Lepisosteus oculatus: one gene and its partners. The protein of the gene in region 1 binds, or shares a complex with, the protein of each later gene. Links are inferred from orthologs where the notes say so. Each region holds a gene or a part of one and is shown on either strand. Other genes may lie near its edges.

Evidence for each region.
Region 2: ints4 (region 1) and ints12 share a complex: the UniProt entries of both Homo sapiens proteins name them as parts of the integrator complex. The link is inferred for Lepisosteus oculatus from reciprocal best matches to the Homo sapiens genes INTS4 and INTS12.
Region 3: ints4 (region 1) and ints2 share a complex: the UniProt entries of both Homo sapiens proteins name them as parts of the integrator complex. The link is inferred for Lepisosteus oculatus from reciprocal best matches to the Homo sapiens genes INTS4 and INTS2.
Region 4: the proteins of ints4 (region 1) and ints9 are in contact, whole or in part, in a cryo-EM structure (PDB 8RC4), measured with the Homo sapiens proteins. The link is inferred for Lepisosteus oculatus from reciprocal best matches to the Homo sapiens genes INTS4 and INTS9. Residues at the interface, in NP_291025.3 of Homo sapiens: Leu53, Gln54, Leu57, Gln58, Arg61, Lys62, Pro86, Ser87, Leu90, Lys91, Ser94, Gln125, Gln129, Asp132, His164, Gln207, Asp208, Pro209, Arg210, Arg212, Asp244, Tyr245, Glu246, Gln247, Trp296, Phe837, Gly840, Leu841, Val842, Val843; in NP_060720.2 of Homo sapiens: Lys2, Tyr4, Lys18, Ser21, Thr22, Leu43, Val44, Gln45, Glu87, Glu89, Leu90, Asp92, Asp97, Thr122, Glu145, Arg146, Val147, Pro148, Lys159, Glu174, Ser176, Thr177, Ser192, Gln195, Phe206, Gly207, Ile379, His380, Ser384, Asn385.

Annotation. Positions count from the first base shown.
Region 1 is NC_090700.1:9,867,366-9,874,316, reverse strand, and holds the start of ints4 (integrator complex subunit 4), read right to left. Parts: upstream 3,012-6,951; 5' UTR 2,914-3,011; coding exon 2,860-2,913; intron 2,072-2,859; coding exon 1,874-2,071; intron 1,287-1,873; coding exon 1,169-1,286; intron 1,025-1,168; coding exon 918-1,024; intron 1-917. Other genes in the region: BTB/POZ domain-containing protein KCTD14, read right to left, coding at 6,702-6,951. UniProt on the Homo sapiens protein: Component of the integrator complex, a multiprotein complex that terminates RNA polymerase II (Pol II) transcription in the promoter-proximal region of genes.
Region 2 is NC_090696.1:65,283,780-65,291,159, forward strand, and holds the start of ints12 (integrator complex subunit 12), read right to left. Parts: upstream 3,020-7,380; 5' UTR 2,797-3,019; intron 1,950-2,796; exon of another isoform or gene 1,947-1,949; 5' UTR 1,720-1,946; coding exon 1,564-1,719; intron 1,247-1,563; coding exon 1,091-1,246; intron 510-1,090; coding exon 322-509; intron 1-321. Other genes in the region: gstcd (glutathione S-transferase C-terminal domain-containing protein), read left to right, coding at 4,959-5,375, 6,238-6,669. UniProt on the Homo sapiens protein: Component of the integrator complex, a multiprotein complex that terminates RNA polymerase II (Pol II) transcription in the promoter-proximal region of genes.
Region 3 is NC_090721.1:4,667,007-4,674,751, reverse strand, and holds the start of ints2 (integrator complex subunit 2), read left to right. Parts: upstream 1-4,731; 5' UTR 4,732-4,826; coding exon 4,827-4,904; exon of another isoform or gene 4,905-5,097; intron 5,098-5,946; exon of another isoform or gene 5,947-5,990; coding exon 5,991-6,295; intron 6,296-6,510; coding exon 6,511-6,649; intron 6,650-6,948; coding exon 6,949-7,051; intron 7,052-7,393; coding exon 7,394-7,507; intron 7,508-7,745. UniProt on the Homo sapiens protein: Component of the integrator complex, a multiprotein complex that terminates RNA polymerase II (Pol II) transcription in the promoter-proximal region of genes.
Region 4 is NC_090697.1:60,385,625-60,393,333, forward strand, and holds the start of ints9 (integrator complex subunit 9), read left to right. Parts: upstream 1-4,705; 5' UTR 4,706-4,876; coding exon 4,877-4,885; intron 4,886-5,754; coding exon 5,755-5,882; intron 5,883-7,709. UniProt on the Homo sapiens protein: Component of the integrator complex, a multiprotein complex that terminates RNA polymerase II (Pol II) transcription in the promoter-proximal region of genes.

The DNA of each region.
Region 1 (6,951 bases):
CTGGCATTGGCTGATACGCCATTTCATCCCCGACATGCTTATGTTTTGCGTCGCGGAGTAACACAACTGAACGCGGTGGTCAGTTGTCCCACATGCTTTGTTTTGGAAGTGCTAACTTGGAGGTGCTCCTCAATTTTTGTGCTGTTTTCACTAAATCTTCTGCGTTGCCCTAAATATGAGCATTTCTTTCTTTCTTTATTATGAATTTAACATATTTAAACTGTGCTAACATTTTTATTAGGATAATTATTAAATTTGGTAAGGCAGTTGGTTCGGTTTTGAGTGGTCTGCCCCAACCCTATTTTTCCCCATAAGCCCTGTTATTTTTATTGAGCGATCTTGCATAACGCAAGGTTTTACAGGAACGCATCTATCGAGTTATAGCAGACGCCTGTAGTGATTAATTCAACCATTTTCAACAGCTTCTTCCAATTCAGGGTTGCAGGGGAGTAGAAGACTATCCCAGACAGCAACAGGCATATGGCAGGGTACACCCTGGATGGGATGCCAGTCCATTGCAGGGCAGACACACACACCAGAGACCATTTTCTCAGAAGCCAATTAACAAATCGATATGTTTTCGGACTTAGGGAGGAAACTAACGCGAACGTGGAAAGAACTTACAAACTCCATATAAGAGTTTAGCATTCCAGGTCCAGAACCGAACTTAGGGTCCCAGTGGTGTAACCACTCCTCAGATAATGAGTAATATAATACAATATTTAGCCTTTATTCAAGGTGTTGTGCTGCACATTTGCACTCAAATCAATTCACTGTTTATGTAAAAACTCCACAATAAACACTAAGGGACCTCTCAAAATCACAGTTAAAATTATAATATAATTCTAAATGTTTATATCATTAAAAGCATACTGTCATGCAGGAACAAAAGCAAATAATACTGGCTCACTTCTTACCTTGCAGGCCACTTCAACTAATCTAAGTCTGAGACTCTGGCTCTCTGGAAGCTGTGAACCAATGACCAGAAGTGTGTCCAGCAATTGTGCAAGAACCTGGTGTGATTCTGCATTCAATAACACAAAATGTCATAGTTAAAAGCAAGTAAAGTCTAAATATGAACAAGCACTTCAGAAACATGTTCCACAACCTCAGTAAAGTGTCCAGCCCGGCATAGAAATGATCCTTTGAAAAACATTACATGACTCACTTTCATTGTTCAGAGTATTAATGGCATCATCCACTATGCAGTCTGGAGAAAAGCCTTGAGTTCTGGACAGCAACCCAAGAAGAGAGGCAATCTTCAGTCGTACTGAGCTGTCCGTTTCCTTCAGAGCAAAAGGCAAACTCTCAGTTACCGACTGAAAATTGAACGGCAAAAAGAACACTTTTGAACACTTGATAGTATTGGTTTGTATTATTCCTTAACAAAAAGGGATCGTGCTCTGTTCCTCCAGTTAATCATTCCTGCTGATCACAAGAATCTATTGATTTAAGAACAGTCTATTTAAACCCTCATGCATTACCTGTTCTATTCCTGATCAATAATTACTGCAGTCAAATACTACTAAAAATAATAAGAAACGATTATTAATGTTTAAAAAGCACCTCTCCAAAAGCCAAGGATGCTGTGCAGAGTGATAAAGAAAAAGACAAAAAAAGTATAATAAATGGTAAAAGAAAAAAAAATAAACAAGAGCATACATGTTTATACAGACAGAACGTAGGGCAATCAGGCACAAGCTGTGGTAAAAAGGTGAGTTTTGAGTTTTTGGAATTGAAGAGAGTCAAAGAATTTGTCTCTCGTACAGTCCGGGGGATAGTGTGGATGAAATGCCTACTGCAAAACAATCAGTCCTAATCGAAGGATACAGAGGCATGCGTGAGCCCAGGGTCTTCCCTGTTTTGACAATACCTTGTAGTAATATTCCAGGAGGATGCGTACCACCCCCTCCACGCTTTCGGCCTCCACGGGCTGGCGGGCGAACTGAAGGAGGTACTGCAGCGCTTCGGTGGGGCTGCTGGCCTTGCACAGGTCAATATGGAGGGCAGCCGACTTGCTGGGTTTGGTCAACCTTAACTTCTTAGCTGGGATCTCTTCCTGCTGGTGTTGCTGAAACCATTGATTTTATCCGTCATTTGTTTATGGCAGCCCCATTTGTTGAAAAAAGACTTTCAAACCCCGATTTTTATTATTTAATTCTGCAAACAGAATAGCTGAAGATTTTTTTTTGCAATTGCTTTAAGACTTAACGTCGCACGGCTGTAGAACACTGCTGCATAACTATAAAGCAGGTCAAAATCTCTTCAATGAATATGAATAAAAATAAGGGGGTGTATGGACATTAGCTAATACATTCAAACACGACACTGACGCCACAATATCCATTCTAAAGTTTAAAACAAAGTTAACGCATTCTGGTAAAATAAGATGTTTTGACGATCTCTTTTCTTTGTTTAGAGACAGAAATATAAACTGTGGTGGTTACTTTAAAAAATTACATTTAAAATCAACAATTTAAAAAGCGTGCACAATGCCAACTTCAACTTTTATTATTACTTTGAATTGGTACGTGCAAGTTTAATCGTATATAATTGAATGGCAAAACAATGAAAAAAATACGGATGTTAAATAAATGATGAGTTTTAAATAACTCGGTGATAAAATCGTGGATATACAAGGAACATAAGCCTATTTTAATCCACAGGAATTTGCTTCATCGGTACAGGCCGAAGGCTTTCGGGACATTTTCCTGTAACTTCTAACCGTCTGTGAAGCCTTATGATCGCATTGAGCATTTTTGCACGCAGCCGTGTTTGCTCGCAGAGTACTACAAACTATTTAAATATGACGTTCTAGACACATTTGTTTTTCTTTAATAGTCTGTTAGATCTGCTTACCTGGACAACTTTTGAGAATTCTTCATAAACTCGTTTCTTTAAATGCGCTGCCATTGTTTAAAGACAAGATATCGTGGTCAAACTGTAATCAAACGCGTTTTGCTGTACCATCGAGCGTCAAACAAGACTGTCCTACTTTTGTCGCCGTAGTGTAGTTCAATAAGGCTTACTGTATGCTTGATTTAAGTGCAATCACAGGGGAAAAAAAGGCCGAACATATGTTGTCTTTTAAAATAAAATCAGGTTTTTTTTCAAACGTATATTAGATTATGCTACTATAAAAGGTGTAACAATTCGAAACGACATGTGTGAAGATCAGTTTTCGCAGCACAACAATGATATAACATAGGGTAGTTGTTCCTGTCCAGTGGTCTAACAGGCAGTTTTATAGATAAAAATACTTAAAGGATACAACAGTTGTGGATTGCAGTGATTTTGGTCTTTCAAGAATTTTTTGCGAACATGTATAAGGGAGCCCCTATTTTCCAACAGATTTCAAGTTTACAATCAAATCATCACTTTTTTTGTCTTTCATGTGAAATGGAAATCTGCGTGCATGTTGTCAGCAGACAGGTTTGTCAGGACAGGATGTACTGTCTAGATTACCAAATGAGCAGAGTGCAATTGCTAAACTTTGCAAAATATGTATTGGCGCTTCTTCTTTCGTTTCTGTGTTGTAATCCTTCTTGTCCTAAGTAAAAGGGGAAGTATTAGATGGGGACTAAGTGCTGTATTTTTCACTGCATAACATCTTTATAAAAAGCCTGTGCTGCTTGTAGCAAGTTGAGTCTCTGATGCACTCTGCAGAGTGACAGCAGGGCTCCCAATATTGCAGTACTGAAATAAAGACCTTACTCAGGTGAGAACTCTCTATTGTGGCTTCCTTGATAGGTATATTTCCATGACACATGCCTATTCCTTTTTACTATATAAGGAAATGGCACCAAAAAATGCTTAAAATATTAACTGTAAAATCTCTGAAAATGTAATTACTTATAAATACATCTTAAAGCAGTACAGATGTACACAAAGTAATGCAATAAACAAAATCTTAAAATGACATGTAATATTGTGTAAATGTAAAAAGGACTAAAAAATCTTAAATATTGAATAGCTATGGGTAAGGGGAACCAACAACCCTGTAACCTGTGTATATATTTTTATGGTGGTGCTACTGGGTGACATGTCTGACTTCCTTTCCTGGTTAAATAAAGAGGACACAGTGTTATGACATACTTTGGTATAAAAGTAACATTTTAATTATTATACATAAAAACAATAGACCTTACATCTTTCAATTAGGATTTGACATTGATTTGGGATTTAGGAAACTGTATGTTGACACGTGTCACATTTGTTCAGTATTGACATGCTTTTATTTATTCATGATAAACCTCCTCTGCTGGAAAAGTGGGGATCTTTTTGAGTCTTGTTTTGCACAACACAGATGGCAAAAACTTCCAAGTAGGCCATGAGTAGATAAGACATTTTCACCGTATGGTACAGCATAAAGTGCATGAACAAATGTATTCTACTGTGTGGTGACCATGGTTTGAATTTACTGAAATAATAAGAAACTGAAAAAGAAGTCAGACAGTACTTAATGTCAACTAGGAATCAATCACAACTAATGGTGTCAGAATTGAAAGAATATAATACACAATTGTTTTATTAATACAATAAAATGTACAAAATAATCCAGTACAAAAATCACTATATATGAGAATTAATTTACCAAGACTCATACAAAAGTCTGATCAAGCATTCAGACAATACAAAAGAGAACAGCAACAAAGGTAAAAATCATATAACTCAGTAGTCAAACTCATAAGCAGCATCCATACTTTCAAAAGAAAAGTAAATAATTACTGTTGTGAATTAATCTTCCTTAAGCATACTAGTTTGGAATAATAGGTTAATTCTCAAGTGTTACAATGTGAACATGGAATCTATATGGAATCTACAGTCCTTCAAATTAGATGCAAGCCATGTGCTTATCACAATGAGATTTTGAAACAAAATGCTCAGTCCCAAGGTTATCCTGTCGCCGCAGGAAAAGGAAAAGATTCCATCCTTCACTGGACTCTGCAGTTGACTTTCCAGGAATTTCCAGGGACTCTCAAAACATGGCTCAGACAAAAGTCGAGACATAGATGGGGACAAAGTTGGAAGTCTGCTCACTCATGGTTGTAGCTCTGAATATTCAGCGGAGTAGACAAAAGCTCAGCTGATAAGGTGAAATTTACAACTGGGATCTCATCCAAAACCTCACTTGTTGTGGGTCGAAACAGTTTTACATGTAATAATAATTATAATAATTGCTTACACTTATATAGCGCTGTTCTGGACACTCCACTCAAAGCGCTGTACAGGTAATGGGGATCCCCTCCACCACCACCACCAATGTGCAGCATCCACCTGGATGATGCGACGGCAGCCATAGTGCGCCAGAACGCTCACCACACATCAGCTATCAGTGGGGAGGAGAGCAGAGTAATGTAGTCAATTCATAGAGGGGGATTATTAGGAGGATTATTACCATGATTGGTAAGGGCCAATGGGAAATTTGGCCAGGACGCCGGGGTTACAACCCTATTCTTTTTGAGAAACACCCTGGGATTTTTAATGACCACAGGGAGTCAGGACCTCGGTTTTATGTCTCATCCGAAGGACGGCGCCTGTTTACAGTATAGTGTCCCCGTCACTATACTGGGGCATTAGGACCCACATGGACCGCAGGGTGAGCGCCCCCTGCTGGCCCCACTAACACCTCTTCCAGCAGCAACCTTAGTGAGTTGCAGGGTGATATGGCTGCTGACGTAGTCTCTCTCAGTCTGGCAATGGCTTGAAGTGATGAAGTTGGTTCAGTGGCAGGTTGGGCTATGGTGGTCACATTAGTCTTTTTTTCTGCCAAGCGGCCAGAGATGTATAGTACAAGAGAGCAATTCCCTTAAGTCATGTCATCTTGAGCGGTGAGTGGTTGTGACATCTATCAGAGGCACGGATATAGACTCTTCACCAATGGGGGGTGTCAAAATTGACCCAATTTATGACATCCTGGTTTGTATTAAAATGCAAATGCATTCTGTACAGGCGCTAAGCTACCCGGGTCATTTTCTGTTCAAGGCAACAGATCGATTTTCGTACTCTTTCTGAACACATTTATTGTACTCCATTAAAAAAAAAAAAATGACCATTACAACTTACCAGATAAAGACAAGTGGCAACTGACTAAGAGTTTCTGTTGATTTTATTCAAAGGACAAAGAAAAGAATCTTGTAAAAAAATATCTAGTCTTTATGTTTATATACACTCATTTCACAATTAATAATTTGTCACTGATTAAACATAGAACATTAACATAATATAGCTCTACAACAATCATATAGATAACAATCACAGTCAATAGAAAAAAAGTCATTTGTTCCCTTCTATAGAAACTACTTCTTTAAAACAACTCCCTGCAAAAAGAAGAGGTTGTCCAGAACTCGGAGTAGGAGATAAGTCAAAGAAGAGGGAAAAGTAAGCTGTCAATCATCCAAATGTTGAAATCCATGGACTAAGCAAATTGATTTTTTGGTAACATCACATGATGAACCAATAAAGAAATGCAAAAATATGAGTTGACAAATTTCTCCTTGTTACTCAGTCTTGTTTTTGCTTTTTCCTTTTCTGCTAAAATGCTGATCTGGACGTCCAGGGGCAAGTTAAATTTCAGCCACTATCCAGGCTTAACCTGAACAGAAAATGTCGAAGGCCAGACCAACAAGGTGATCTGCAAAAGCAACTCAGGTGCCAAGAATTCATCAAGAGGCTAATATTGAGTGTACCGTTAGCTGGCACTACCACCAAGTGAATATGAATTTGTAGAAGAAGTCGTAGCTTTTGAAACGGAATCCCTTGTCCGCAACGTGCTGCTGGTAACTGATCTTGTAGCCTTTGGCCTCGATGTCCATTTTGACACAGTCCAGCAGGTCCATGGCGGTAGGCGATGCTTTCCAAGGGCCGAACCTCACCACCGATTCTTTATCGGCATCCAGGCTGTTGATGGCGTCGTTGTACCGCGCAGAGTCCTCCTCCGTCCTCAAGACG
Region 2 (7,380 bases), on another chromosome or scaffold:
CACCTATCCCAAAAGGTACTATCCCAACTGAAGTAATTTTTTTTTGTATTCTATAACTGTGATGCGCAGAATGGTGAAATACCAGCTTCTATTCCCAAATACTGGTTAGAAAAATCTAAGAAAATTATAAAAAAACCATTAAAGTATGGCAGGCCAATTTTTATTTTTCAGTTTAGTTAATATTTATTAATATACTAAAACATACAAATGTGTAAAACTGTAATAAAAGACAAGATCGTCTTTGCTTTATTTAGATTACTTTATGTTCTATAGGTGATCAACCTAGGCTGTTCATACTGTATGCAATGAGACGTTACTCACCTACAAACCACACAAGCCAAACCCATCTCCATAGCAAAATCATCGGCACTCGTCTCGTCAAAGCTGGACAAATCAGGAATGGGGAGGTCCTTGCTAGTTTGAACTGTGATGGGAGACGATCTATTCTCCTGCTTCTCCAGGCGAGGTTTCTTTGGTGGGTCAATTGCATCAACGGGATCCACTTTAACCTGAAATGACAGAATACAGGTGAAACTGTGGCACGTGTATCATAGGAGCCCCCCAATTTTAATTAACACCCAGCAATAGCAAACTTCCTATTGGGTTTCTACTAAGTAGTAATTATTAAAATATTATTTTTCATATTACAGTATTTATACATGCGAACAATACTGATTTGGGTTTCCTATTGGGTTTCTACTAAGTAGTAATTATTAAAATATTCTTTTTCATATTACAGTATTTATATATGCAAACAATACTGATTTGGGTTAAATTTTTAAATACATTAAGTATAAGAACACAAGGACCTTTGTCCTAAGATGAGTGATGGTTAAAAACATTGTAACCATTAAAAAAGCCACAGAATGTTCAACAACATTGTGTAAATGTGAAACAGTCTACATAAGCTTTGCATGCTAATGATACAACTCATGTATTCCTGCTCAGTTTCACCTTAAGAATGAGATACCTAACCCAAGGTATCTGAAAAACTTCAGATAGTGGTTGTTTAGAAACTAGGACTGGCAAATGCTTGCCATCCTCATGAATGGGAATCTTCCTTTTTTTCCTCGTTTTCCTGACAGTTTACCTTCTCCGATGTTCTTTTCTCACTCTCTTTTTTGCTTTTTTCAGAGCTGCTTGACTTGCCATTGCCACTGCCTGAGGAAGAGGAGCTAGAGGAAGATTTTGTCTCCTGCTTGCTCAAGCTCACTTTCGTAACGGTCACCTTGGAGACCTCCACTTCCTGTTTGGGGAAAGAAAGATTTCACACCACAGGTAGGACACGCCAGTGAAGAACAACAACAAAAAAAATAGAACAGAACAAAATGAGTGAAACTCTTTAAAGACAAGTCTTTGATTACTTTTACTCTTGTAGGCTGAACTGTGTCCAGATTACAGGATTTCCTTTGTAAACAAGGTTCAAACACAAGGCAAAGCCCTTTTTTGTTACATTTTAAAATGTTATTTCTCAAAAAAAAAGCAAGGTCATGGCTCTGCAACAAACTAGTGCATCATGGCTCAAATGTAAGGCCTTACTCATAATTTTCTGCAAAGGGTTACCTTGAGCGTGGTCCGATAGTTTGAATCACTTCCCCTTGCCAAGGATTCATCTAGCAGTGCCTTCAGTTTCTCTGCTGAATCCTTGCTTTTGGAATGCAGGTATCCAAGGCCTTTCAGAAAGATTGGGTCCAGCTCCAGACTTACAGTGGCAGCCATGATCTCTGTCAGCTGTTATGGACATACAACATGAATCTGCAAGGGTCTTGATGCGAGAGTTGCCATCAGTGACAGAGCATACCTTAAGTGTGCAGTCTGAACGTGAAGGAAGGGCCAAAGGCTGATGCATTTCTTTGTCTGTTACTGTTTAACTGACAAAACATTATGCATCATTTAATCTCTTTTCTGGTTCAGAGAGTGGCCACATTTCCCTCAATCCTGTTCAGCTGCTGGAAAACATAAGAAAATGACTGCTTGCATTTAATATTAAATAGTTACTTACTAAATGGACACCTCCACCAAAAGCCTGCACTATATTGTCAGGGATGTATAGGTTTAGCTTTTTCTGCAGATATATTTTTATGACTTGAATCTCATTTTGTCCTATTTTCAGAAAATCAGAGGTCAAATGGAAATTTGTAAAAGTATCTGAATAGTCACTTTGTAGTGTAACAAACGATATTAATCTCTTGGTTCACAGCCATATGAAACATGCTGTTATGCTGTTACAGTCGCACCGAGTAAATTGCCAGTTGGATCGTCCAAATTTTATTAATGAAATGCCCTGTCGTTTATTTCAAAACCTAATACTATTACAGTTAAGTCATGATACTGATATTTTCTATATGAACAAAAATATTCATTGGTATTCCCTTTTATAAATATCTAACAGCCAGTGGTGGTAACGCTTTATATCATAAGGAAAAAAATAAGCATTTTTGATTAATTTATTCGTATGATTTATTCCCTTCAGAACTATTCTGAACGAACTATTTTGTCCAGAATCCGGAACCAGCCGTACAACTACTCCGCAGCACAGGATATACTATTGCTAAAGAAAAACACGTATTACACAATAACAAAATCTTTGAGATTAAATGCCTTTTTTTCCAAATATTACTTCACCTCTCTAGTTTTACACTTCATCACCACTGGTGTAAAAATCTCGGAATGGGAATATTGCTACTAGATTTCCTAATCTGTCATCTGGACGGAAGTACATACATACACCTTGCAACAAACTTATTTCAACTGTAATTTAAACACCTCTTGTTTTTAACGCATTTCCTTTCTTACCTTTGTTTTTCGAAAATAAAAAACAAAAATAAACTGATGCAAACTAACATCTGTTCAATTTATATACCTATACATATATATATAGCTCCGTATATTTACAATTTACGCCGTGAGCATGTCCCTTTCCGATATGATCTATAACCATCCTTCCCCTTTTTGTGTTCGGGGGAAACAAAACATAATATTTGTACCCTATCGGGGAAAAAAACTTTTTTGATCGTTCATAAAACAGTTAATCAGCATTTAAATCATATAATAAAAACAGTTAATTCATTTACGTGCCATTTTTTCCAACTACTTAACGACTATTTAATTTAAGATGACGTTTCCCAACCGTCGGTTAAGGGTGTGAGATGTTACACGGACACGTTTCTTGGTGACACAAGGAAGAAAAGGTTTGAAACAGCGTGACTGTGTGCAAAGAGAACTGTAGCTGCAGAGGCTTGCTGTGAGTAGAGTAAGCTGATTTCGTTTTTGACGCTTGCGAAAACAAACAAGAAAAGCGGTGAATTGAATGGGAGAGATTCAAACAGTAAAATAATAATAAACATCAACAACTTCTTTTAGGCGCAACATGTTTATAAAGCTAGACATGTGTACAAGATCTGTATAATAAAAACCCTACAGAAATACCTCTTGATATGTTTTTACTTTTAAGTTAAATGTTGTAAATGAAACGAAATGTCGTTGTCATTTTAACTATTTTAATTTAATTAAACGTCTGATTTGTTATAGTGTCTTAGGGTCCACTTGGGCTAGAGAGAGAATTTTAGTGCACTTGTCTTGAAAACTGCTTGTTCAGTTACATTTGATGTTGATCGCATTCGCATGAAGGGTGTTGAATCTTTTACTCCTCACCTTTAAAAAATGAAAAATTTGCAGTGAAGTTGAACTAATCTTAACGGTAGCATATTTTCATTGACACGCTGATTTTTCTCTTGGGCAGAACGTATGTGTGGGTCACAGCATGTCTTTCTCTTCTGGGGGCTCTGTAGATTCATCTGCTTTTTATTGCTGCTTCTCATTTGAGTTAAGCTTTTAATAGGAGTCAGATAATCTGGTTTTAGGTCATAGTAAATTTCTAATGTAAAGGCAAAACAACAGACCTGCATACGTTTGTCTGATTTTCTGTAAATCAGTCCTAATCATTAATCTCTGTAATATGGTCAGATTATGAATGCCCCTGCGATAAGTCCACTAACGTGCCCTTTTAAATTTTAGGTGTGTCGTTTCTGAGACCTGGGTGAAACAGTGTAATGACGTTTCCTGTAATGGTCATGACATCTGTTTTGCACTGGTCTGCAGTTGTGCTGATGTTGCAGTTGCTTAACAGAAAGGAGGTGGATTTCTAAAATGGTCTGCTTGATTCCAAACAGTAGATCACGAAGACACACAGAGTCACACAAGACGACTTTGGCTGTTATTTTTTGAATCCTTGTGTCCTGCAATTTGGCTTTCCTAAATTCTGTATTAATTCAACAGGGAAATCAATTTCTCACTTCTATGCCTGATCTGCTGTAGAGTGGCACTGCCACATATCCCAAAATAATAATTAATAATTGCTTACACTTATAAAGTGCTTTTCTGGACACTCCACTCAAAGTGCTTTACAGGTAATGGGGACTCCCCTCCACCACCACCAATGTGCAGCATCCACCTGGATGATGCGACGGCAGCCATAGTGCACCAGAACGCTCACCACACATCAGCTATTAGTGGGAAGGAGAACAAAGTAATGAAGCCAATTCAAAGAGGTGCACCTCTTCAGTTGTGGACTGTGGATCCCCTTCTATATATGAAGCACTTGGGAATCCTTTGTTTTGCAAAGTGCTACTGTATATAAAAGGAAAAACATTCGCTTACTATCACATTGCAATGACTTTTCCTATGCATAGTTTCAAAGATGTTACATATACACTTCTTGAATATTAAATGTTAAACCCTGTGTATGTAGAGTATGTATAGAAAATTATTGAGAATCACACTATCTCGTCATTGAGTCTTACAGATTGAGGCTGTACTCTAAAGGTTTAGCCCATATTTCTACTTTAATAAAGCTAAAAATATAAGTACATAAATGTACCTACAGACTTATTGTGCTGTTATGTGAACATTTAATATTCTTTTCTTTTTACAGAGTATATTGCTGTGCCTCCAATGCAATGAAACACACAAATTCAAAAAGGGGAGAAGAGTGTCTCTACCTGGACATTTCTGACCAGAGTGAAGAGGCCATTCTCCCTCTCCACACGTCCATAACGCTCTTTCTCCTGTCGTACTGTGACTCCAAGTTATTCCGTGTCTTCCTGGTTCCTTCTCGGCCTGACCCGGCGCAGTCATGGAGGCACCGAGTGCCGGGGGGCCTGGCCGCCAGCGTCGTCTCCGAACAGGACCTGCCCGCGCTGGTGAGAAGCTGTTGCCTTCCTGCGGTGCTGGAGGAGGAGGGCAGGTATTGCCGAGCAGGCCTGGCCGTAGTGCTGAGACATATCATTCAGAGGACTTGCGAGGAAGATCCCAGCCGCAAGGATGTAGCGGCCCTGCTGGGCTTCAAAAAGACCTGCCTCAAAGCCTGTGCCGAAGTAAGTCTGTTATCTCATTCTTTTGTTTTCCTTTTGCTTGTTTATTAATGCAGATATGCTAGACTGTATTGTTGACTATCTAATTACTGTAGGTGTATTGCTTGTGATGATAATTTTTTTTACTACTACATTTTTATTAACCATTCCAGCGAAGGTAGTTTCTCATATCACTTCAGCTTATTGTTCATCAATAAATAGGGGAAGAAAAACAGTCCTGATCTTAAGCAGTATGGTATTCACTCATTATACTTCACTGAATCATTTCTGCACGTTCGAAACGAAAAAGTCTTTTTTAACTGAGATGGGGAAAGTGCATTTTACACAACGGGTTTATGTTAAACAAAGATAACTTGCTGAACAAATAGCTCCTGAGAATGACAGTGAACACATATAAGTAGAACAAGTATACCCCATTCGACGCCCATCTCCCCAGAACAAACAAGCACTCAGGTTATATTTGTGAGGTTCACATGGACATGATCTGCTATTATTACCATACTTTTGTTTAGTGGTATGTGCTTTAGAGGGGCATTTGTAGTCTGTTCTGTTTTGTGTGTGACTTTCAGTAGTCATCATATTAAATCATATGATGGAAAATGCAGATAGTGTAATTTATTACATTGCAATGGAAATTGATTTAGTTTATAGGAACAAATGACAGGTCTGTTTTCTGCTACTTGTATGGTGTAGTTATGTTGCATCACCAGGATAAACCTTATATTACTTCTGTCATAGGTAGGGGAGGTCATCAGTGATTATGATAATAGTTTTAAAAGGGGACATGGGGCTGCTGTATCTCTGTCTTGAGGGAAATGTTAGTGAATTCTATTTACTGGAATAACTGTGTTGATTTCTGGCCTAGGTGAGTCAATGGACGCGGCTCTGTGAGCTCAACATCCCCTCAGCTGTGGAGGAATTTCTCAGGCAGCCTGCAGGCCCAGATCCAGAGATACCCGCCGCTATCTTGCGCCTGGAGAAGAAACTGGAAGAGCCCGTTAAGGTCCACAATGACGACAAGATCCGCCGGCAGAAACTGCAGCAGCAGAAGGAAGAGGCAGGCTCTGCCACCCAGCCTGCTTCATTCCGGGAGTCAGTGAACTCGGAAGAGCTGGAGCTGAGGGCTGCCTTGGCCAAGCTGTCTGTGGAGGATACACCTTTGTCAGCCACTAGGGGGCCCTCTAACATCAGGAGAGTCAAGACCACTGAGCTGCCCGCCCTAGAGCATGTGTTTGCAGAGGGGCTGTACTTCACCCTTACAGACCTTGTCCTGCTGCCTTGTTTGCACCACTTTCTGGTAAGGATGCAAATCAGTGAAATTGTGAATAACACAGGCCAGGTGCTATACTTAGTGAAAAAAAGTTGTTTTATTCACAACTTTTTGGAGTCTTTATTGTGGGTGAAAAAAGTACTTGTAGTTTTACATATGGGGGGGGGGGGCTCACCAATGCTATTAATTCAATAAAAATCTTTAATAAAATAATTAAATGTTAGTGGATGTATCTTTAGCTTACACATTAACTTGTATTCAGCTACATTTCAGAACTTACATTCAAATATAATTGTGGAAGTGAAAAAAAAAAGTAGGATTTTTCGAACCTCCCACAGAGTGTCAGGTTGGAACAAAACAGAAATTCAGAATACTCAATACTTTGGGGGAAAAAAAATGATAAAGCCTACAGTGTTTGTGCTGTTGCTGGTTAGTGAAACATGCTGTCAGCCAATATAACATGAACAAAAGCAATGCACACAAAATTCTCTTTCAGAAACAGAACTTTATTTGACCCTTTAGCCTTCTGTGCCCTGTTAATTCAGATGAAGGGAATTAATCATTAACTATGGTCAGTTTTAAAGTACAGTATCAGCCACCTTGCAGGTGTGGAATGCATGAGGTGCACGTTATTAATGTTAAGTCCACTAGAAGTGTTTTTGACTTGTTGGAGAATTGTACCATGTGCTTTAACCATTCACATCTTTAATGTTTTGTAATATTATATTATTATCAGGA
Region 3 (7,745 bases), on another chromosome or scaffold:
GGGGATATCTATTACAAAGTAATTACTGGAACAACTCTCCCTGCAGAAATGGTATTTGTTATGGTAACATCGGAGATAGCCTGTTCACGTTACACTTATCTGTCTAAAGTACTGGAAGAAAAGGGATGTTCTTAAATGAAACAAACTAATTCATTTCTTAGTAAAGACCTGAAATTCCTGTCTTTGGATGGTATTGTATCCAAATGAAAATGCCTGCATCTATCTTATTTATTGTAAGTTTTTAAATGTATAATTTGTCTTATTTCTTAACCTCTTTTATATATTAAAAAAATCCTAGAAGGTTTATATTGCCTTCTTGCTTTAAAGCAATTGGTCTAAAATATATGTAATCGTCTTAATTAAAAAACAACAAAAACACATAAAAAATAAAGTTGCAGTAGGTTGCTTTTAGAGTATTATTTTTTGTAAGGGGGACAGAAATTTGTATTGTCATGATGTACAGATGAAGTAGGTTGGGGGTTAATGTCCATGCCTTTGTGTGGGGGGGACTTACAGCTAAGCTGTAGCTGCAGAGTACTTGTACAGCAATGAAGTTCACTGTGTTTATTCAAATAAAAGAGGTACATTGTCGTATATAGTATTTTATACCACACATTTAGACACAAAAACCGAACGGCAATATATATAAATAATTATATATAAACGCTGTGCCTCTATGGGCGGTGCAGCTTCTGTTTTAGGAATAAAGTGCGTCAACTCAATTCTCCTGTGGTTGTGTTTATTGGGGGGGGGGAGGGATGCCTTTGTGAAATTTAGCAAGGAAATCGGATGGAGTTTTTGCCGCGACAGCTGAAAGTACACGCTCGGATACATCTTGTAGTTGACTCCCGCGCTCAAAGACTGCAGTACGGTGTCCCGGGTGATACTTTTAAGAAAGCAGTCCAGTGGCAGGCAATGGGATTGCGGGGCAGCGGGAGTGGAGCAGGTGTCTGTCTGGGTACAGACCGTCCAAAATCCCACTCCCCCACAGCTCTGGGACTTGGCTTCCACTCGGGACTGAGCTAAACAATCTGGTTGTCCAGCCCCCAGATCCCGGAAGATAACCCCCTTTCTGATTTGCCATGACCACATTAATAGCATACCAACTTCTATTACATTGTGAAAGTAAATGTGTGGTGTAAATGATTTCTTTTTAATTATTATTTTAAAAGCCTGTGGCATATGCAGTGTTTGTGTGCACAGAGGAAGATTAGCTGCTTTTTGTTCAGCTTCTATTAGTCTTCCCCTGTTCTGAAATAAACCTGTATACTGGTTCTAATGAACCCATTGATTCTCTCATGCATTAAAAAGTTAGTGGTTGGAAACTACTACAGAAGAAACAATTCCTGGAGAGTAGTGCCCTGTTAATTTCCATTCATGTTGTAGAGTCCTCTTGTCAATACAGGCTTAATTAGCTAGGGTATTTTGCATTGATATAAGGTCAAGAGTTGGCCACTTTAATTTGTGTGTAAATATATATATAAAATAAATATGATGTCAGCAGATTTTATTTGTTTCTACTGTATAAAAGTTGTGCAAAGTGGCAACTAATTTTTTTGTAGCAGTTAATGTTTCTCCAAAATGCGCGTTAGGATCATCACGGTGTCCGGATCTGCGTTAATATCTGCATACCGACCATCAGAATCATGATTTGGCATAAAGCATGGATTTCACTTTAGGATTCCCGGTGCTATTGGTTGGGCAGTTATTAGTCAGAGGTTCTCATTGTGGAAATTTTAAGTGATTACCATTTTAACAGGTCTGGTCTGGTTTAAAAGCCTATGTTTTCATGTTTTTTATTAAATCTATAGTTCAGTCTTCAAAAAGGCATAGTATGAGCTTGCAAACTTCATAAAATAGGACCCCATCAATTTTTTATTTTTTTGCTTTACTGTTATTTCTGAATCCTTATGTTTTTTTTTCCCAGTGTGAAATCCATAAAAGCCTGACTATTGCTTTTATGAACCCACCAGCATAGCCTTGTCCAAATTCAACATTCTTCATTATAAATGGGAAATACACTTTCCTGCTATATGTTGTGTGATTGGATTTTAATGTATTTTATTTTCAATCATGGTGTGCAGGATGTATGATTTCCTAAAAACAAAAAGGCAACATTGAGGTGGTAAAGTAGTTCTGTAGTGTACATTACTGACTTTTTTTTTTTGAGGGAGCATGAATAGGAACTTGCAGTCCATAAATTGCCATGTTTGATTTTTGTGTTTTTCATGGTAAAAAGGGGGTCAATAAGAGGTCAAACTGGAAACATTTTGAATGCTGGGTGGGCTTGACTTTTTGTTTGTACCAATGAATGACCCAAGTTTTAAACTTTAGTCTTCAAAGAACAGCTCTTGGTATTAAACTGATTTCCATACAACTCGTGTGTATATATATAAAAAAAAGCAGTGAGCCTTTTCTCCATTCTGAAAAAGCTTATTGAAAAGACATTGATGGAGGGCAAGATTGCAAAAAATTAGCAGAGCTACACTCTTTGTCATGGAGATCAGTGACTAATATTGTACTACAGTTGGATCCCTCTTATCTTGATTGCTCTGTATGCATTTCATATGTTTATCTACAAATTGCAAGTGGTGCTTGTGTTGAAGGTGAAGCATCTGCTAAGTCTTGCTTGGGCATTCATGTGAGTTTTTTCTCGCCAACAGCTACCTAATTAAAGAAGCAAACAAAACTGTTAATCACATATCTGTAAACATTTTTGTTATAATCTGGACCCCTTTTTCTCTACCTGAAGCTTTGCTCTCCTTCCCGGGTCCAAATGTTCAAATGTACTTTGTAGAACGATGGTTCTATGGAGGTCCAAGAAATTGCTAATGCATCAGTCAAAGTGTACATTTCTCATCTTTGGACTTATTCAGACAAGTGTTTTCACGATTGCCTCATTTTATCATTTTATTTTAAAATTCTATCATGGCAAATGTATCAAGTGTTGCATTACAGAATCACTGAAGATGCAAAATTATCATAACTACTAGACATCTTTTTGCATCTGTTGTCCACTGAGGGCTGAAAATTGAATTCAGAACAGTATAAGGTGTCAAAATGTGAACATGAAATCTTACCTTTTGTGGTGAGTAAGGCAATGCAGTGTCCAGTTTGAATTGCTTGGACCTATCATAGTCTTTTATTGTTGTTTTACTTTCTGATGTCATTTTGTTTACCATCTGCATAATGTTGTGAAATGTCTTAAATTTGCTTTAATCAGGAGTGCTTTCTTAAAATTCTAGTTTGGATATATATATTTTTTCCAGATGTTGTTAAAAGACAATTTTATGCTTTTATGACCACAATCAAATTGTAGTCTGAGGGGGGTTTATGGAGAAACACTAAAGCTACAGAGAGACCTGGAAGCTGAGAATTGTACAAATTGTGGTTAGAAATTTAAAAGACAAGAAAAAAGTTCATACTTTTTAAACAATTTCGGATGAAAAATAAAATAATTTATTCATAAAGTTTCCATTGTTTTGTCTTGTCATCATTTCCAAGCAAGACTTCTGTTAATGTGAAAACCTCCTGTTTTCTGGGATCAGTTATTCAGTGTCTCATTCTAACTTCTTGGACATTGTGTTCTGTGGAATATGATTTTCACCCTTCAAAGTCCACTGAATATGCACTGATTAATGTGTGAATGTGATCACACGCATTCATTTAAACCATTGGAGAGTGGAAAGTGAACTTGGCCAAAATCCACAGTGAATATGGCTGTAGAGTTGTATGAAACTTGAAAACTGTTTTAGATACTGTAGTACGTAATTGACATAGGTCTTGCATCACTGCAAGGGTTAAAATTACCCCCCTTGCATCCCCCTTTAAACGAGATGCGATATATCAAATAAAAAATTGGTAATAGGTTTCAAATTTCATTCCTAACAGCTGCTGCACTGGAGGGACTGAAAGTAAATAGAGGGGCTATTAATTGTCATTGCAAAATGCACCTGGGGTCCATCAATAACTTGGAACTCGGGAAGCAAGACCACTTGTGAGTCTGCTCACCCTTGCATAAAAATACATATTTTCTAAAACGATTTCAGACAGGAAGAGCACATTTTGTCCTCTCCGTGCTGAGACGCCAAGCGTCCTTGCGAGTGGTGTCAGCTCCGCCGATACACCTGGGTATATAGGTAAAGCAGCTGTGGCGCCACAGCAGGACGGCCTGAATTGGGTGGGAAGATCTCGTCCCATCGCCGTTAACTTCATTTAGCCCAAGACGGCTCAGGGCTAGTTTCACTGGGGGTAGACAGTGGCGACCCAACACCGTGACCATTCCTTCTCCCTCCCACCTCAACCCAGTAGACGGACATTAAGATGTTGTCTCTTTCCTTCTTTTATTCATTGTGCTCCAATTTTACTTTTTACTACCAATTTTATTTGTAGCATCCTGTTTGGCGTGTACAATAGCTTACACATCGTTTATTTTCCACATCGGCTAGGTCAGGTGGTTCCTAAAGGTTTGGATGTTTATAAATAGTGATGAATAGGCTGCGTGGTTCTAAGAATAGATTGCCTTATGTGACTGAGCCCTAGTGTTTTTACTGAGTTTTACCGATACAGATATATTTTATTCTGCGTTTTTACAGCATAATTGATAGCGACATTTAATTGTCACTCACTACTGTTCCGAGCCCCAGTATCCAAATTAAAGGGTCACACGTCTGGTACTGGCTTCTCAGAGTGTTGCTCGCTGTACTTCTCGTTTTACGACTTCTTCGTATTTTCCGCCCCCTGGCAAACGCAAATAACGCAGCGATGCCTCCCCCTCGTCGCTTTCTCTTGAGCACTGTGCTGGAGTAGCTGTTAATTTCCAATGAATGAAAAGCGTGTTTTCTTGTGTACCCGGTAAAAAGACAACTCTTACTGAAGAGAAGGAATACAGCAAAAACGGACAGGTAAAAAAAAAAATCAAATATATGGATATAAAGTACCTCTTCTAGACAGTGGAACCAGTAACGTTTTTCGAGATGAGGCGGCTATGAAACCTCGGGACCTCGGCACGGGGGATTCACGCCAGTCCGAGGATCTCGTTGGCTTGCAGGCCTCAACCGCTTCGTGGAAACAACAAAAAAACTAATTTTAAGTAAGGTAAGATGCACGTAGGAGCAGCGTAATAAACAAGAAGCAAATGAGAGTGGGGGTTCTTACCGTTTACATGTGGAATTCTGTAATTTTAATTAACACGGAGAGCTTGATAAATGATCGGAATAAAGCTACTAGCTCTTTCGGACCTGTGCGATGGTGACTCGGGTACAGCAGGAGTCGAAGCGAGTGTTGCAAAACTATATGCAGGATACACTCCTGAAAACACAGTTATTCCAAAAATATGTAGAGAGTGAAATTTATTAAATTTATATCCATATCCTATTGAAAGGATAGTTAGAAATGGAAAAGTGTGTGCTTAGCTCCTAAAACTGCCGGTTCTAAATTCTGCGTCGTTATATTAATGTCCGGAGTAACTACAACCACCGAAACTTTACGATGATCTTCAAACGTCCTAGTTTTACAGTAAACGATTTTTTTTCCTCTGTCAGTATTCTAACAAAATTGTGTTTTATCGTGTTTTTTAAACCAAACTATACCTCAGGACAGTGTTGACAAATTTTATCGGTTATCGATGAATATCTTTTATTTAAAAAATACCGTACTGTATTGTACTATACTGTAAAAGCGGGTTAGCATCAACATCAGGTTATCCTTAACCACACCTGGTTTAAATGTCTCATTTAGCGTCTATAGACTGACCAAGAGGTTCTCATCACAACTGCAGCAACTTTGCAACACTAGAAATCCTTTGTAAAACCCCAGGAAAACCGTCCTTAATCATGCAGAAAATAAATAACATTTAGCGTTATCGATCAGCACTGAACTGACCCTGTGATGAAAAGCAAGTCTTTTTTTATATAAAAAAAGAGTTTCTCTCTCTCCCCAACCCAGCACTTTTTCCTCTTTCCTCTCTTCTTTCCCTTTCACGGTCGAAGGAGCCCTCCAGGATGTCGGACTGCGCAGGTCTGCAGTTCGTGAGCCCCTACGCCTTCGAGGCCATGCAGAAGGTGGACGTGGCGCGGCTGGCCGCCCTGAGCGACCCCGAGCTGAGGCTGCTGCTGCCCTGCCTGGTCCGGATGGCCCTGTGTGCCCCCGCCGACCAGAGCCACACCTGGGCCCAGGACAAGAAGCTCATCCTCCGCCTGCTGTCCGGGGTGGAAGCGGTGAACTCCATCGTCGCGCTGCTGTCGGTCGACTTCCACGCTCTGGAGCAGGACGCCAGGAAAGAGCAGCAGCTCAGGTAATGGGGGTGGTGCCCTACACCCACCCCCCAATGGCATTGGTGGCCACCATTCATCCTGATATTGCACACAGCAAACACAGTAAGCTAGAGAACGAGCTGTCTCCTTTCAGAGGCCGGTGTACGACTACCCAGATTGTCTTGATCTGATGCTTTTCTCCCATTTCCCACCCCGACTGCGCGGTGACACCTGGTGTTTGTGTATTCCCTGACAGACACAAACCTGGTGGTGCCAACGGGGACAGCATCTTGGTATCCCAGCTTCAGCACGGCCTGACACTGGAGTTTGAGCACAGCGATCCTCTTAGAAGACTCAGGCTGGCACTCAGCGAATTGTTGGCTATAATGAACAAGGTAGGACGTTGGACTCTCTCGCGGGCCTGGCTGGTACACAGGAGCAAACCCTGCAGGATCTATAAACGTACCCTCTTCTTTTCTTCGTAACTGGATCTCCAACAAAATACCCTTTTAAATATCTAATTAAACATAAGTTGCAGCTCAAATAGGGTGAATATTACCTCCAGATAGACACACAGGATTACATTTTCCTGCAGTGTAATATTTGCCCGTTCACATGCAGTTGTGAAAGCCTGCAGACGTCCCCAGATGTACCTTTGTCATTTTGCAGCTCGGGATTTGATTTTGTCTTGTAGGTTTCAGACTCAAACGGAGAGTTTTTCTTAAAGTCTTCTGAGCTTTTCGAAAGCCCCGTGTATCTAGAAGAAGTGGCGGATGTTCTGTGTATTTTGCAAGCAGGTAGTACTTGATTCAATTTCTGATCTTCACTCCAGAACACTAATAATCATGTTATGTTTGATACGCTGAAAGATGAATAAGTGCTGTCCTGTGCATTTTATTCAACTCTGTTGTGTCCTGAGTGAAACACTGAGAAAGGAACTGTAATGAGGAAAAACGTGTGAATTACTGTTGTCTTACAGCTCTATTCTCATAACTTTTATTTAGAAAGAAATTTAATAGTGAATAGGAATTTTACACGAGCACAGGGCTGATTTTCACTAAACACAGATGAAAATTGAATAACACGCCATGTTAGGGTGTTGTTTCTGACAGCGTGGTTTTCCTCCCATGTTCGTGCAGAGCTGCCATCGCTGTTGCCCATCATAGACGTGGCAGAAGCGCTGTTGCACGTTCGCAATGGAGAGTGGTTCCTCTGCGTACTAGTGGCCAATGTCCCCGACAGCTTCAACGAAGGTAAAGGCCTATTGATGGTGGTACTTTGTTTGTAGAGCTGCATGAGACGTTTATTCAGATATTCAGAATCACTTCTAGGAGTTAACGGATTTGTCAGGGACAGTTAATGTATTGACCATACATGGTTTAAAATGCAAGTGCCAACAGTGTTTAAATCATTGTGATTTTGTGTTGACTCCTATTCATCAGGGTGAGATCTGTTAATCACACCCTTGCTAGCTGCTGTCTGTAGAACACC
Region 4 (7,709 bases), on another chromosome or scaffold:
TTTCTAACAGCTCAAGGATCTTGGGTTTTATTTCTGCCTCAAGTACCTGTCCATGCAGAGTTTGTTTTTTAGCATGTGTCTGTGTGTTGTTTCTCCAGGAGCTACTCTTAAAAATTGTTTCCCTGGACTTTAGCCGAATGAGGTAGGTGGCTGCCTCTTTCTCCCCTATACTCTGGTTGCAGGGGCAAGAACTATAAAGATAGATTGTAACTGAAAAACACAATTAGACCAAAAATACCCATAGACCTCAGTTCTGCTTGTATCTTTGAACATTAAATTTATACTGACATGGCCTTGTGTTTTCTGCTAAACTATGTTTCTAAAAATTGTGACTCTCTGCTCACAGGACATGAAGTTTGTTTATTTATTTGAAATAAAAATATAATTTCTTCTGAACTTGATCTTACTTATTATGAAAAACATATTGTGAATCTCTTTCGGAATTGCTCATCTTACAGTTCAGACTGTAGAAGATTGTACTTATTGTAAGTTATTGCAAGAGAATTCCTGTAACCAAGGAAACACTTTCATTCAACAACAATGCTGATGTTTACATTTACTTATACAAAATCCTTTTCATGAAAGATTAGAGGCTATTTCACTTCTAATGGAGTACCGTACCATTTTTTTTACCACCATAAACTCAAAACAGCACACAACATGAAACAGAAAGCACAATGTGGTCTGGCTTCTTAAAATCGATATTATTGAGAGGAAATCAACAAATTTCATATTATGAGGCAATTTTATGATTTGAAACCTTAAACTACCTTCAAAATACAATAAACAGGCACAAAACACAGTCACCTTAAACATAATGATCTTACCCTTGCTGAAGCTATGAAATAAAGATATTGTTTTCATTAATGCGGACAGGGTGTCAAATGAATAAAATTCACTTTATGGAAACCAAAGTGGTATTTTGAGATATTTTAAGTATACGGTAAATGAACACACAAACACATTATATTGATTCATTCCTGAGGTTGAGGAACTTTTAATACAGAATTCAAAATAAACCAATATTAAGAGATTAGGCTAGCAATTTGTGCACAGAAGTGGGTTGAAGGCATTTGCCGAAGTCATCCATCGCAATATCCACATGGGACACCTCCACCACACATGCACACAAAATGGAAAATGTTCTAATAATTATAGATCAGTTTATTTCATCGCTTTATTTGATTTACAAAATCCATTAGTATGGACTTTGCATGGTACCCAAAGGAGGGTTACGCATATCCAACAAGAGGACGGCGATAAGCACTGACGGAAAGGTGATGAGATACAATGGGGAAAGTTAATACACTGGCAAAGTTCCCGGGGAATATAAAAGATAATTACAGTGATGAATCTAGACTTCTCAGGGAACAAAAAACATAAACATCCTCTGTGAAATGCAGCTGCAGTATGTGCTGCAGTCATGTGCGCTTATAGTAACTGCCTCCAACAAGCAGGGGTCCAAAAACACAACACAGCTATCTTGCTTATTGTTCATACACTGGCAGACAATCGTCATTTACCACTGTCAGCAGACTGCAACACCCCAGACGATCATCAAAGAACTACTGAAGAGAAAAATCAGAGCTGATCTCACCACATCTCAACTCAACAAAGCTGAGCCTGATCAATACTTGGGTGAGGGGGTTCTGAGGAAAATCAGGTTGCTCCTGGAAGATAGTACTCAAGTACAGCAGTTGGGTCTGTAAAATGAGTTGTAATGCATGTGCCACTGCTGGAATTTAAAGCAAAGGTTTGACTTCTATGGCTGGATGTTCACATAATGCCATTTGATAAAGTAAGGGCCCTTGTTATCTTGAAGGAGCAGCATTGTCGCCTTCTAGGCAGATATATGAAGCTATGCAGTTTGAGCCTGTTCATAGGAAACCCCAAAGAAAACCAGACTGCTGTTGTAAGTGGAATTGGTGAAGGAATAGATCGCACTTTTCCCTCTGGGCCAGAATTTCCAAACCAATGTCCCCGTATGGGGACCTGTTACAACTGTGCTCTAGGATTTGCTGACATTCAGATACTTGAAATAGAAGTCCTGACAAAAACCAAAGATCCTATGACATTTTTAGAAAAGGTAGGAATGTTGTCTAAAGTAGACTTTGATCACGTACAGTCTGGCTTTCCTAAATTTTCCTCTAAACTGAATTGGTGAGGCTGTTTCTCAACTCAATCCCTGAACTGCTGTATAGTGGAGCTGCTGGCACATGATTGCTGCCTAGGTGGGCACTGTGCTACACAGGTAGAAGAAGTGGGTCTTCTCCTGTATGTAAAGTGCTTTGAGATTTATTGGGTTAAAAGCCCAAGTTTCAAAGAAGTTTCCAAGCCTTGACGAATTCTAGTTTAGGCTTTGATGGTATTGTAACTACTAAAGTAACGTCTTGCAATGTTCACCTTATTTTCTGTAAGGGGATCTGCTGGCTAAGAATAGTACCCATGTACTTCGGCAAAGAACGCTATGCTGTAATTTTTGAGGAGAACAGTTCTTTATTATGGCCTTGGTAAAGAGTAATATAATCCCATGAAACCCATTTGTGACATGATCCAACAAGCATTAAAGTAAGCATAGACAGTGCCTATGAAATTGCCCATCGATATCTGAAGATATGTTAGTTAAATTCAAGTCAGGACACAGACCAGATCACAGAGGGTAAACGATGACAAAATGCAATGACAGTTCACCTAAAAGAAGTAAGTCACACACTGCTGCCAGTCAGTTTGGGAAGTGACGCAGCACCAATTTGTTAATGGCACCACACAATTGGTCAAGACAGATGTGATATCATAATTTCAGATCAAGGTGGGTTAGTGTCTTCAAACATGCCCTTTTTCCACCACCTGTTCTCCAAATGGGGGCAAGTTACAGCCTGGATACCTGTAGAAGTTCACGTTTACAAGTGGAGCATACGGCCCGTGACTCACTTTGGCAGACAGCCATTTAAAGGAAAGGCTGACTAGACATGCTGATTTTTCTTCAAGATACAAATGCAAATCCACACTGAGGTAAAATGGTGCGATTCTCTTTATCTCTGAACAGGTCTAACATTAACTGCATTATTTTCTGATCTTAGAGTCTAACTCCAGTACACCTCTGGAAATTATTGAACACAAAAAGTTTTCACAGTGTTCTACAAAGAGAAACAACAAAACAGAATTAGCAACACTCACATATGTCAAAACGTCCAGAACTGTGGATTTCGCAGTTATCAGTGAAGGATTCTTCACTTACTGTTGTATTTTAGACAACACAACATTGTTTGCTAAAGGTACAATGACTGCTCCATTCTGTACACACTATGCATTGAGATTTATTTCTAATTTGTACTGTACAGAGCAATTATCATAAGGTCACAATGATATGTAAGAGTCAAAACGAGTCAAAAACTGATTCATTCCAATTCATTTCAAACAGACAACTTTAATTTTCTTCTGTTTTTGATGCATCTAAACGATGCATTATGTAGAACAGCCCACTCAATATTCCCTTGATCTATAGCAATTAATTTGAACATATATTACTGAGAAAGAATGTGTTGATTCAATAAACAAGGTCAGACTAAATATACTTGACACTATTAGGACGATGATGAACATGAATGATAATCGTTAGGGAGTTAGTATTTGCTACTACAGGTCATACACCTCCGCTCGGTCAGACGTCACACATTCAGAAATGAGTTACGTCATTATACTTCAAGACCACCAAAACGCCCACACCGCCCAAAAGCTACCACATACTTGCACCACCAAAATAAACACACGTCCCAGGGTACAATGTTTACGGCTGCTGGAGTAAGAAACACCATCCACCCACTGCAACACCTAGCGTGCTGCACTTTAAAAATGTGTAAATTATGGATCATTTTAGGACTACTGCATTTCGAGTTGATAATCCAGAAGAAATGCAGGTCGCTTATTCTTCCCAAAATATGAATTAGTTTGCATTTTATAGACATGGCATCGTGATGAACATCTAGCTGACAATGCATTCTCAAAGGACATTCTGTGTTGAGAAGCACATACTGTGCGAACAAAAATCTGAAGATAACTCCCCCACTAAGCATAACACTGATAACACTTATGATAGTTAATCATGTTTACTTTTGCAGTTTCAAAAGACCTGGCTTTATGTTCAGATCGGAGTCAGTGTACACAAGCAACCAATACACGTTTCATTAAAACTGAAATACACCTGATCAAAATTCGACCTGTATATCATTCGAACAGTGTAAACTAATCCAGACGCTGCATATTGACACATAATTCTTACCTTTATCAGTTTATCTTGGGCCTCCGTCCACCACACCATTTAATAACAGGAATACAAATAAATTCCTAGAGTGATCCCGCGAATTTAGCACCGAAACAAAACATACACGAGTTATTTTTTGAAACCCTTGCTGTCCTTTTCCTTCTAATTTGATTTCAGTCAGAGACTAGACTGACTTGCCTTTGTCTGTCTGACAGCAGCCATATTGACATCAACATCAGAAAGCAGAATGAGGTTCGTCGGGAACCGTAGTTTCTCACAAAGTATAAAACCGAGTCCCTCTCAATCTGAAGCGACAGGCTTCCACCGAGAACTACAATTCCCGTTAACGTCATGGACCTACTCCCAGCGGGACTACAAAGTAGCGGCCGACAGAAACACTCGTCACACGTCGCTCTGCGTTCTGTTCCCTTTTCACCCTTTGCTCTAGCTACCCGGCAGTGAAAATTAAAAAATAAACTACATCTCCCAGAGGAGGTGACCACAGGAAGTATGTTGAAGTGAACTATCAACTTTGACTCTTGAAATCCAAAAGATTTGGCGTGGGGATTGTAAATATATACTGTACATCTAGGTCATCTGACATAACAATTCAGGATGAAACTAGTGAGTATACAATTAAGTTATTTCATTTCTTGTTGCAAAGTCCAGGCTGCAATAAGCATGGGTCAGTTGAATGAGGGAACTTTAGAGAAACTGGAACGTTTTTTATGTTATTAGCAGGAAAAGGTGACTGAAGTTCGTTTGGACAATTCACGTTACATTTTACAAAAGCTGGACACGTGTTGAATAGAAATAATCTAATGTTTACCACTTTACTAATGTACAGTATATGCATTAAGGAAAAGACTAGTGCACGCAAAACCTGACGTATTAAGCTTAGTGTCCTGGTTTAATTCAGTTTTGGTTTATTTTAAATCTGGCCTTTCTGCAATTGTTTTAATTCAGATGACAAAGCAGTTTCGTACTTCTTCACATTATCTATTGTGTGTAATCAAATTGCTGCACTTTAATAGATGGAGTCGGTCCCTTTCATAAAGCGCTTCACGTCTGCAAGTAATTATTTTTATATAGCACAGTGTTGCTGAACGATGAAAATAAGTACAGTTCAACGTCATGATGTTTTGCAAGCAAATTTAGTATTTTACTGTTCTGTACTTTGTTTTGTACTTACAGGAAAAGATTTGTTCACCGCTTTAAAAAAATGTTCTTCTTTTACGTAATCAATTGTAAATGGTTCGATGTCTGTTCCAGTTTGTCTGATGGACTGTAATAAATCAACTTTATCATGTATGTCATCACTAACGTCGTGTGAATAAAGAAGGAAGAATATCCCAGTAGTTGGATTTAAATTTAAGAATTGAAGCTCATAAAAAAAAAACATTTTTCTGACATAGCTTATTGATAAATACTTTTAAATGCAATTGCCTCTCATGGTTTAAAAACATGATGTGTGTTATCCTGTATTTGTGTAGTACTGCTTGTCTGGTCATCCAACCTTGCCCTGCAATGTCCTCAAATTCAAATCTACAACCATCATGCTGGACTGTGGGCTTGACATGACATCAGCGCTGCACTTCCTGCCTTTGCCTCTAGTACATAGGTAAGACCATCAACAAAAAAAATAAAAATACAGTCTTCATAGTAAAATTCACACATGTTATTGGTGAAACGTTTTTCAAAGAACAGCATGGTGACACAGTATATAGCATGTTTGCCTCCCAGTGCAGGGGTCCTGGGTTTTAATTCCTGGCATGATCTCTGTGTGGAGTTTACATGATTTTTTGTGTTTGCGTGGATTTCCTGTGGGTGCTCCGGCTTCATCCCGTGGTCCAAAGACATGCTGGTAGGTTCACTGGCTTCTGTAACACTTGCCTTACTGGGAGTGTGTGCCCAGCAATGAGTTGGCATCCCATCCAGAGTGTAGCCTGCTTTGTGCTCAGTGCTTCCAGGGATAGGCTCTGGAAGGGCCACTGTGACCCTGAATTGGACGGGCAACTATTGAAAGTGATGATGTTGTGATGTTTTACAAAGGAATTTGGCATATTCTTCTTGTTCTATGTAATTTTAATTTCCCAGAAACATCCTCAAAATTGAGTGAGTGTTATCTTTTAAATATAAAGTTGACCTAGCATGTTCTCCCTTTTTCCTTTGTGAATTGTTTGTGGAGAATAAGTAAAGAGGGTTGGATTTCTTCAGGAAAGCCAAGATATTTTACAAAGCTGTTAGATTGAGAGGATAAAATGTGATCTGATGGTTGGCTGAAAAGCCCACTTCTCCTATGGCGATATTTATATAAATCAAACCACTCTAAACAAAGACCCTGAAGATTTGTTGGAGCGTGCGATCTAGTTGTTTTTTTTATTTGTAGACTTTACAATTCCTCGCAAACAACTGGACATCCAAATAGTGGAGAAAAAATAAAACAGTCAGCATTTGTAAAATAATTATAATGCTTATTTGGAAATCAACATTTTAAAAACCTGGAGCTTGAATGAACAAAGATTTGGTTAGAAGTATAGAAAAAAACAATCTAAAAGAAATGGCCAACATTCATTGTCAAAACTCATAGTTTTGTTAGTTTCAAGTAAAATGAGCTGTATCTAATTTTTGGTTTCACATAAAGACATTTGTTTGTTTAGTTAAGTAATGATAGATCTTGATTTTGTTCACAAATCTTGATGTTACTTTATTGTAATATAATACAAATCAAGTCTGTTTAATGGCAGTGACAATGAAAGTTATAAATACAAGACCTTTAAAAATTGTTTATGTTCCTTGTTAATGTTTAGAATTGTAATCACTACCACTCAATTGCACTAGTCATTAGCTGTAATTTGCACTCTAGTGCTGTATTTTAAATTTAATTACAGCTCAGGTTTGGAGTCACTCGATGGAAATATTGTAGTTATGTAATTCTTTTATTTATCAATAAACAAATCACATACATAATTGGTTTACAAAAAGAGGAGAGATTGGGTAGTTTGCATTAGGTAGAACATAATAATAATTTCTCTGACATTTTTTTTGTGATTTAATTAATGCATAACAAAATAGGGCAGCATTATTGTGCAGTGATTAGAATTTCTACCTCGCAGTGCTGGGGCGTTGGGTTTAGTTCCTTGGGTGCTATCTGCGTGGAGTTTGAATGTTCTCCCCGTGTTCACATGGGTTTTCCCTGGGTGCTCTAGTCCAAAGACATACTGATATGTTAATATTAGCCCTAGTGTGTGAGTGTGTATGTCCTGCCGTGGACTGGAGATCCATCCAGCATTTATCCCACCCTGTGCCTGTTGCTTGCCAGGGTAGGCTCTCACTCCAGTGACCCTAAATTGGATGAATTAGGGTGGACTATGCAAACATGAAAGCTTGATATTTTGTATTCTAACATTTTTATTAACTATTATTTTTAATGTATTACTCTTTAGCT